2 linked regions of the Saccharomyces cerevisiae S288C genome follow. Each later gene encodes a partner of the first gene's protein in a complex. Each region holds a gene or a part of one and is shown in the gene's direction. Other genes may lie near its edges.

The links.
Region 2: the proteins of RAD23 (region 1) and RAD4 are in contact, whole or in part, in a crystal structure (PDB 2QSF), measured with the Saccharomyces cerevisiae proteins. Residues at the interface, in NP_010877.3 of Saccharomyces cerevisiae: Leu265 (codon at 2,994), Arg266 (codon at 2,997), Gln267 (codon at 3,000), Val269 (codon at 3,006), Ser270 (codon at 3,009), Gly271 (codon at 3,012), Asn272 (codon at 3,015), Pro273 (codon at 3,018), Glu274 (codon at 3,021), Ala275 (codon at 3,024), Leu276 (codon at 3,027), Ala277 (codon at 3,030), Pro278 (codon at 3,033), Leu280 (codon at 3,039), Glu281 (codon at 3,042), Ser284 (codon at 3,051), Leu290 (codon at 3,069), Arg291 (codon at 3,072), Ile294 (codon at 3,081), Met295 (codon at 3,084), Ala296 (codon at 3,087), Pro298 (codon at 3,093), Glu299 (codon at 3,096), Phe301 (codon at 3,102), Val302 (codon at 3,105), Leu305 (codon at 3,114), Leu306 (codon at 3,117), Gly347 (codon at 3,240), Ser348 (codon at 3,243), Phe349 (codon at 3,246); in NP_011089.4 of Saccharomyces cerevisiae: Lys138 (codon at 2,444), Arg139 (codon at 2,447), Tyr142 (codon at 2,456), Phe143 (codon at 2,459), Met145 (codon at 2,465), Leu146 (codon at 2,468), Tyr147 (codon at 2,471), Val149 (codon at 2,477), Cys150 (codon at 2,480), Leu151 (codon at 2,483), Val153 (codon at 2,489), His154 (codon at 2,492), Phe156 (codon at 2,498), Ile157 (codon at 2,501), Arg158 (codon at 2,504), Trp161 (codon at 2,513), Gly224 (codon at 2,702), Leu225 (codon at 2,705), Arg228 (codon at 2,714), Ile233 (codon at 2,729), Glu234 (codon at 2,732), Ser236 (codon at 2,738), Lys240 (codon at 2,750), Arg241 (codon at 2,753), Lys242 (codon at 2,756), Phe243 (codon at 2,759), Lys244 (codon at 2,762), Thr245 (codon at 2,765), Leu246 (codon at 2,768), Lys247 (codon at 2,771).

What each region holds. Positions count from the first base shown.
Region 1 is NC_001137.3:80,876-84,804, reverse strand, and holds RAD23 (Rad23p), read left to right. Parts: upstream 1-2,201; coding exon 2,202-3,398; downstream 3,399-3,929. Other genes in the region: ANP1 (Anp1p), read left to right, coding at 253-1,755; putative acireductone synthase UTR4, read right to left, coding at 3,660-3,929. UniProt on the Saccharomyces cerevisiae protein: Plays a central role both in proteasomal degradation of misfolded proteins and DNA repair.
Region 2 is NC_001137.3:500,113-504,926, reverse strand, and holds RAD4 (Rad4p), read left to right. Parts: upstream 1-2,032; coding exon 2,033-4,297; downstream 4,298-4,814. Other genes in the region: GCG1 (gamma-glutamylcyclotransferase), read left to right, coding at 1,145-1,843; SPT2 (Spt2p), read left to right, coding at 4,579-4,814. UniProt on the Saccharomyces cerevisiae protein: Involved in nucleotide excision repair of DNA damaged with UV light, bulky adducts, or cross-linking agents.

The sequences.
Region 1 (3,929 bases):
GTGGGGTCGCCCGCCTTGTCTCATCGTGAAAAAATTGCGTAAGATGAAATCATGAAAACATGAAATAAAAAAAATAAATAAAAATAACTACACGATTCAAAAACGCCAAGATCTGTTAGTAGAGACAGCAAGCATTGCAAAACCATTCATCACTCAGTTGCTAGGCGAGTGTTGGTGCGATTTACCCTCATCATCTTTTTTTCGCTCCATTAAACAGTTCCTTGTGGCTTTCATGCAAAGTGTACGTCCATAATGAAGTATAATAACAGAAAACTCTCGTTCAACCCTACCACAGTAAGTATCGCTGGAACGTTGCTTACGGTGTTCTTTCTCACAAGACTCGTGCTTTCGTTCTTCTCGATATCGCTATTCCAGCTGGTAACTTTCCAAGGAATCTTCAAGCCCTATGTTCCAGATTTTAAAAATACTCCCAGCGTAGAGTTCTACGACCTACGAAATTACCAAGGCAACAAAGATGGTTGGCAACAGGGTGACCGCATCTTGTTTTGCGTGCCACTGAGAGATGCTTCTGAGCATCTTCCCATGTTTTTTAACCATCTGAATACCATGACATATCCGCACAACCTGATTGATCTGTCGTTTTTGGTGAGTGACTCTTCGGATAACACCATGGGCGTGTTACTATCCAATCTACAGATGGCGCAATCGCAACAAGACAAGTCCAAAAGGTTTGGTAACATCGAAATCTATGAGAAGGACTTCGGCCAAATCATTGGTCAGTCCTTTTCTGATCGTCACGGGTTTGGCGCCCAGGGCCCCAGAAGAAAGCTGATGGCCAGGGCTCGTAATTGGCTTGGGTCCGTGGCCCTGAAACCATACCACTCCTGGGTTTACTGGAGAGACGTGGATGTCGAAACCATCCCCACTACCATCATGGAGGATCTAATGCATCACGACAAGGACGTCATTGTCCCCAACGTCTGGAGACCTTTACCAGACTGGCTGGGAAACATTCAACCCTACGATTTAAATTCATGGAAGGAATCAGAAGGGGGTCTTCAATTGGCGGATTCCCTAGACGAAGATGCTGTCATTGTGGAAGGGTACCCAGAGTACGCCACTTGGAGACCTCACCTGGCATACATGAGAGACCCAAACGGTAATCCAGAAGACGAAATGGAATTGGACGGTATTGGAGGGGTCTCGATTCTCGCGAAAGCTAAAGTATTCAGAACAGGCTCACACTTTCCTGCATTCTCCTTTGAAAAGCACGCAGAGACAGAAGCATTCGGTAGGCTCTCCCGCAGGATGAATTACAATGTCATCGGCTTGCCCCATTATGTCATCTGGCACATCTACGAACCTTCCAGCGACGACTTAAAGCACATGGCTTGGATGGCTGAAGAGGAGAAGCGGAAACTAGAAGAAGAGAGAATTCGCGAATTTTACAACAAGATCTGGGAGATTGGATTTGAAGATGTCAGAGACCAATGGAACGAAGAAAGAGATTCAATCTTAAAAAACATTGACTCCACTTTGAACAATAAAGTCACTGTAGACTGGTCTGAAGAGGGAGATGGCTCGGAGCTGGTGGACTCAAAGGGTGACTTTGTCTCACCAAACAACCAACAACAACAACAACAGCAACAACAACAACAACAGCAGCAGCAGCAACAGCAACAGCAACAACAGCTCGACGGCAACCCGCAGGGGAAACCTCTTGATGACAACGACAAGAACAAGAAAAAACATCCTAAAGAAGTTCCATTAGACTTCGACCCTGATAGAAACTAGGCTCGGTTTTTTAGTGACCTACATATGAAGTACGAATTCATATAGTTGTACATATATACCGATAATAATATCAAACCTCTATTCTTTGGTCTTTAACTTTTCTTTGAGTGAATTACAATACCATTGTTATATCAATCACTATACACGGCTCGGTGGCGAAATTGAAATTTTTTTATTTTCTTCTCTTTCATTATGGCTAGGCAAGAAATAGCGACAGCAAAACTTAAGAAAAAATGATAGAACAAGGTCCCATCCAGTATTGACTAGTAGCTAAAGCTAGAAGGTACACTTAGGTTTTTCTCCCTGTTTTTAAGTTTGAACCATTGATAAGGCCGTTCGCAGACAAGCTTGCTACCATCCAATTTTCCTTCCTCTAAAGACTTAATAAAGGCATCTAACTCCACCTTTAAATCACAGATCACACAAAGACAACATACAATAGAAAAATGGTTAGCTTAACCTTTAAAAATTTCAAGAAGGAAAAAGTTCCTTTAGATCTGGAACCTTCAAACACAATTTTAGAGACCAAGACCAAGCTTGCTCAATCCATTTCTTGTGAAGAATCTCAAATAAAACTGATCTACTCGGGTAAAGTGCTACAAGATTCCAAAACCGTATCGGAATGCGGGCTAAAAGATGGGGACCAAGTTGTCTTCATGGTTTCTCAAAAAAAGTCCACGAAGACCAAAGTAACAGAACCTCCAATTGCTCCTGAGAGCGCCACTACCCCCGGAAGAGAAAATTCTACAGAAGCATCCCCCAGTACGGATGCTTCTGCAGCTCCTGCAGCCACTGCTCCCGAAGGCTCACAACCGCAAGAAGAACAAACCGCCACTACAGAACGTACTGAATCTGCCTCTACACCGGGATTCGTGGTGGGAACCGAGAGGAACGAGACCATCGAGAGAATCATGGAAATGGGCTACCAAAGAGAGGAAGTCGAACGAGCCTTGAGAGCAGCCTTTAATAATCCAGATAGAGCGGTGGAATATCTACTGATGGGTATTCCAGAAAATCTGCGTCAACCGGAACCACAGCAACAAACAGCCGCCGCAGCGGAACAACCATCGACAGCCGCCACCACTGCGGAACAACCGGCTGAAGACGACTTATTTGCACAAGCTGCCCAAGGCGGTAATGCTTCATCCGGTGCGCTTGGCACAACTGGAGGAGCTACAGATGCTGCGCAAGGTGGACCTCCAGGTTCCATTGGCCTCACTGTAGAAGATTTACTATCGTTGAGACAGGTCGTTTCAGGTAACCCAGAAGCTTTAGCCCCATTGTTGGAAAACATAAGTGCTAGATATCCTCAATTACGTGAACATATCATGGCAAACCCAGAAGTGTTTGTGTCCATGTTGCTAGAAGCCGTGGGTGACAATATGCAAGATGTTATGGAAGGTGCGGATGATATGGTGGAAGGAGAGGATATAGAAGTTACAGGAGAGGCTGCTGCTGCAGGACTGGGACAAGGTGAAGGTGAAGGTTCTTTCCAAGTTGACTATACCCCCGAAGACGATCAAGCTATTTCGCGCCTCTGTGAATTGGGCTTTGAAAGAGATCTTGTTATCCAGGTGTATTTTGCGTGCGATAAAAACGAAGAAGCTGCAGCAAATATTCTATTCAGCGATCATGCCGACTGAGATTGTAGTAATGTTATGGCTTGAAGTATCTTCACTTATTCTCGACAATGTTGCATGATTTTTGAGCCAAGGGAAAAAAAAAGCTTACGTAGAAATCAATAACGTATGTGTATTTATATATGCTAGAAGGGAAAGAAAAGAAAACAGAGAGATGGTAATATTAATCTCAATAATAATAATAATAATAATAATAACAATAATAATAATAATAACAACAACAAATAATGATTATACTGCTTTTAGCGCATATATACAGTTTTGTTAAAGAGTTTCAAAATTCTTGTATACCTGGTACTTTTGCCCATCGGGGACAGGTGCATTACCAGGTCGGGAAGCTAACCCAGTAGCTATTCCAACGCCGGCCGCTGCGTCCAATTCCAATGGATTATCGCTCAAGAACAGTACCTCGCTAGCCTTCGCACCGATATCCCGCAAGATGTTGGCGTAAGACTGTGTTTCGGTTTTCTTTCCAGAAGTGTTGATGTCGAAATAACCATCTATATAAGAATTCAAATCCAACGAATCATGCGC
Region 2 (4,814 bases), 420 kb from region 1:
ACTACTGAACTATGATCTGTTCGACAAGTGTTGCATATTACATGTCTTTAATGGTATCAATAATTGACATAATCTTATATCAGTAATGATATCAGGAAAGAACTTTGTAATGTTTGGGAACATATGTCCTAGTGTAGGGATGGGATGTGATAAGGATCGTGGGATGTTAAATTTATTCTCTTAGATGAAATTGCCTACACCTTCTGGACGGTTGATAATTAAGTTTTCAACTTTAGCGTGTTTCATTTTCAAAATATTGAAGAAGTGGCCTACCAGTGATATCCAACCGATGCGCGAGCAACACGCAAGCCCTTGGCTTGTGAGCAGCGTTTAGCTGACCGTATTACGCATTGATGGGCTGAGGAAAACATACAGGCAATCATGTCTTTTGATTTTGGCAACGTATGATCTTTTACCGTATATGGGGCAGTAACATATCATCGAAGTAAAAGCTAAAACAAAGAAAGTTAAAAAAAATAAACGTACAACATAGAAGCTTACCTTTCAAGGATATCTCAAAAGTATCAAATATATCACGGTGACTTCGGCCTGCGAAAGAAGATTTTCCTCGAACGGTGAAATACTGAGATGATCCATAAAGTAATGAGAGTGTTCTCGCTTGTATGGTTCGCTGACCTATGCCACCCGTGTTTCTCCATTGCGCAGAGGCTTCCATATTGACCACTACGTAGTGGCAACTTAAAACAATCAAAAATCGTTTTCTTCCTTAGGACTTGACTGCTTCGTCTTAAGATTATTGCCAGAAATTGAAGACAGAAAACATCAGTGAGAGGGGAGGGAGAGAGTGTCGCAACGTATGACCTCTTTTAAAGGCGTATGTCAACCAGCGGTTATCAATAGTTCCCTTGTGTTAAGGGAAGCTTGGAAGTTGTCACCAACACCTAGCAGACTTTTCTTCGACGTCCTCCCTAGTGGTTTATATGAAGAGAATGAGAAAATTTGCCACTCCAGTAATTTTTCCTTTTTTTTTTTTTTGGATTCGCCAAGGAGCGGGATAATTGGTATTCTGGGTAACGCTAAAAGGTAAGGTCAATATTAGCTATGAGTTTAGTCTCGAGGTGATTTAACCTTGGAAGAAGCAATCACGACGTTGGTTTGGGCTTATAAAAAGTTGTATGGCCAAATGACTAATGACAACAGTGGTATCTGGGTCCTAGGCTACGGATCTCTGATTTACAAGCCTCCGTCTCATTACACGCATAGAATACCGGCAATAATTCACGGTTTTGCTCGTCGGTTCTGGCAAAGTTCCACTGATCATAGGGGTACACCTGCAAACCCAGGAAGAGTGGCCACACTAATCCCGTATGAGGATATTATAAGGCAAACTGCCTTCTTGAAGAATGTGAATTTGTATAGTGAAAGTGCACCTATCCAGGATCCCGACGACTTAGTCACCATAGGGGTAGTGTATTATATACCACCAGAACATGCTCAAGAGGTTAGAGAGTATTTGAACGTAAGAGAACAAAACGGGTACACTCTACATGAGGTTGAGGTGCATCTAGAAACTAATCGGGAGCACGAGGCAGAATTGGGTGAAGCATTAGAACAGTTGCCTCGGCACAACAAATCGGGTAAACGGGTACTACTTACTTCGGTGTACATTGGTACAATAGATAATGAGGCCTTCGTCGGACCAGAGACCGTGGATGAAACTGCGAAAGTAATTGCCGTGTCGCATGGACCTAGTGGATCTAACTATGAATACCTTGCAAAACTGGAGCAAGCGCTAGCGCAAATGCCCATCATGAAAGAGCGAGGGCGTATTACCGATCATTATCTGACTGCTCTATTGGAGACTGTAAATAAATACAGGTGAATGAAATATGTATACATATCTTGATTAACTATGTAAGGTTCTCCTCTTGCTTTTCTACCATCTATATAGTGCGGCGGAAAATGGAAAAATGCGGTTAAGTACCTTTAATGCATGCACAATATATGCAAATTTTATGCAGTTCAAACAGGACGACAAGCAGAGACATAACGACACTATTTTTCCGCTAAAATGAATGAAGACCTGCCCAAGGAATATTTTGAACTAATAAGGAAGGCTCTTAACGAGAAAGAGGCAGAAAAAGCGCCCCTGAGTAGAAGAAGAAGAGTCAGAAGGAAGAACCAGCCCCTACCAGATGCCAAGAAGAAGTTTAAAACAGGGTTGAATGAATTGCCACGAGAAAGCGTTGTTACTGTAAACTTAGATTCTTCAGATGATGGCGTCGTTACGGTACCGACGGATGATAGTGTAGAGGAAATCCAGTCATCTGAAGAAGATTATGATTCGGAGGAATTTGAAGACGTGACAGATGGAAATGAGGTGGCCGGTGTAGAAGATATATCTGTTGAAATTAAGCCCTCTAGTAAAAGGAATAGTGATGCTAGAAGGACAAGCCGCAACGTTTGTTCTAATGAAGAACGGAAAAGGAGAAAATATTTCCACATGTTGTATCTAGTTTGCTTGATGGTTCATGGATTTATACGAAATGAATGGATTAACAGCAAGCGCTTGTCTAGAAAACTGAGCAACTTAGTTCCTGAGAAAGTGTTTGAGCTACTGCATCCTCAGAAAGATGAGGAACTCCCACTTAGGAGTACTAGGAAATTATTAGATGGGTTGAAGAAATGCATGGAGTTATGGCAAAAACACTGGAAGATCACTAAAAAATATGATAATGTGGGACTTTATATGAGAACCTGGAAAGAAATTGAAATGAGCGCCAATAACAAAAGAAAATTCAAGACGTTGAAAAGATCTGACTTTTTAAGGGCCGTCAGTAAAGGTCACGGAGATCCTGATATTTCAGTGCAAGGTTTCGTTGCGATGCTCAGGGCTTGTAATGTTAACGCACGACTTATCATGTCATGTCAACCGCCAGATTTTACCAATATGAAGATTGACACTTCTTTGAATGGAAACAATGCGTACAAAGATATGGTCAAGTATCCGATTTTTTGGTGTGAAGTGTGGGACAAATTCTCTAAGAAATGGATAACTGTTGACCCAGTAAATCTCAAAACCATTGAACAGGTCAGACTTCATTCCAAGTTGGCACCGAAAGGCGTGGCGTGCTGCGAAAGAAATATGTTGAGGTACGTGATTGCTTACGATCGGAAGTATGGCTGTAGAGATGTAACTCGAAGATATGCCCAATGGATGAACTCTAAAGTAAGAAAAAGAAGAATTACTAAAGATGACTTTGGTGAGAAATGGTTCAGAAAAGTGATAACAGCACTTCACCATAGAAAGAGAACCAAAATTGATGATTACGAAGATCAATATTTTTTTCAGAGAGATGAAAGTGAAGGCATACCAGATTCGGTGCAGGATTTGAAAAACCACCCATATTATGTTTTAGAACAAGATATCAAACAGACTCAAATTGTAAAGCCAGGATGTAAAGAGTGTGGATATTTAAAAGTACATGGAAAAGTTGGGAAGGTTTTGAAAGTTTATGCAAAAAGAGATATTGCGGATTTGAAAAGTGCTAGACAATGGTACATGAACGGCCGAATTTTAAAAACTGGTAGCAGGTGTAAAAAGGTGATAAAGAGGACAGTTGGAAGGCCTAAGGGCGAAGCAGAAGAAGAAGATGAAAGATTATATAGCTTTGAAGACACAGAATTATACATCCCTCCATTAGCCAGTGCGAGCGGTGAAATAACCAAGAATACATTTGGAAACATCGAAGTTTTTGCACCAACGATGATACCTGGTAACTGTTGTTTGGTTGAGAATCCTGTGGCAATTAAAGCTGCTAGGTTTTTGGGGGTGGAATTTGCACCTGCTGTAACTTCTTTTAAGTTTGAACGCGGCAGTACAGTTAAGCCAGTTTTAAGTGGCATTGTTGTTGCAAAGTGGCTCAGAGAAGCTATTGAAACCGCTATTGATGGAATAGAGTTTATTCAAGAGGATGATAATAGGAAGGAACATTTGCTTGGTGCTTTGGAGAGTTGGAATACTTTACTGCTAAAACTGCGTATTCGTAGCAAGCTGAACTCCACATATGGTAAAATTGCCGAGGAAGAACCTAACGTTACGAAGGAACAGAATATTGCGGACAATCACGATAATACGGAGACTTTTATGGGAGGTGGGTTCCTACCAGGTATAGCAAACCACGAAGCAAGGCCGTATAGTGAACCTTCAGAGCCAGAAGATAGTTTAGATTATGTTTCTGTTGACAAAGCGGAGGAAAGTGCTACAGACGACGATGTCGGGGAGGATTATTCGGATTTTATGAAAGAACTAGAGATGTCAGAGGAATCAGACTGAAATGAGGCTGAAACGGTTTGAATAATTAGGAAAGTATGTTTTTAATAAAGAAATTCTATGTTCAGGAATTTTGTATATACTTTGTAATGAATGAGAACTTAGTTGGCTTCAAACTTTTTCGTTTAACATGATTATTTTTCTTGTTCGACTAAGATATTCCCACATGGACAAGTGCCACAGATTAATATATGAATACAATAAAATAACTAGTGTAATTTGAAAATAAAAGTTGATGAGAGGGACAGGGACTTGAGTCCTATTCAAAGTGAAATATTTTAGTTATGAGTTTTCTTTCCAAACTTTCCCAAATACGAAAATCAACGACTGCATCAAAAGCCCAAGTGCAAGATCCATTACCCAAGAAGAATGACGAAGAGTATTCCTTGTTACCCAAAAATTACATAAGAGACGAAGATCCTGCAGTAAAAAGATTGAAGGAGCTGAGGCGGCAGGAACTGTTAAAGAATGGTGCTTTGGCTAAAAAAAGTGGTGTAAAACGGAAACGTGGCACCTCATC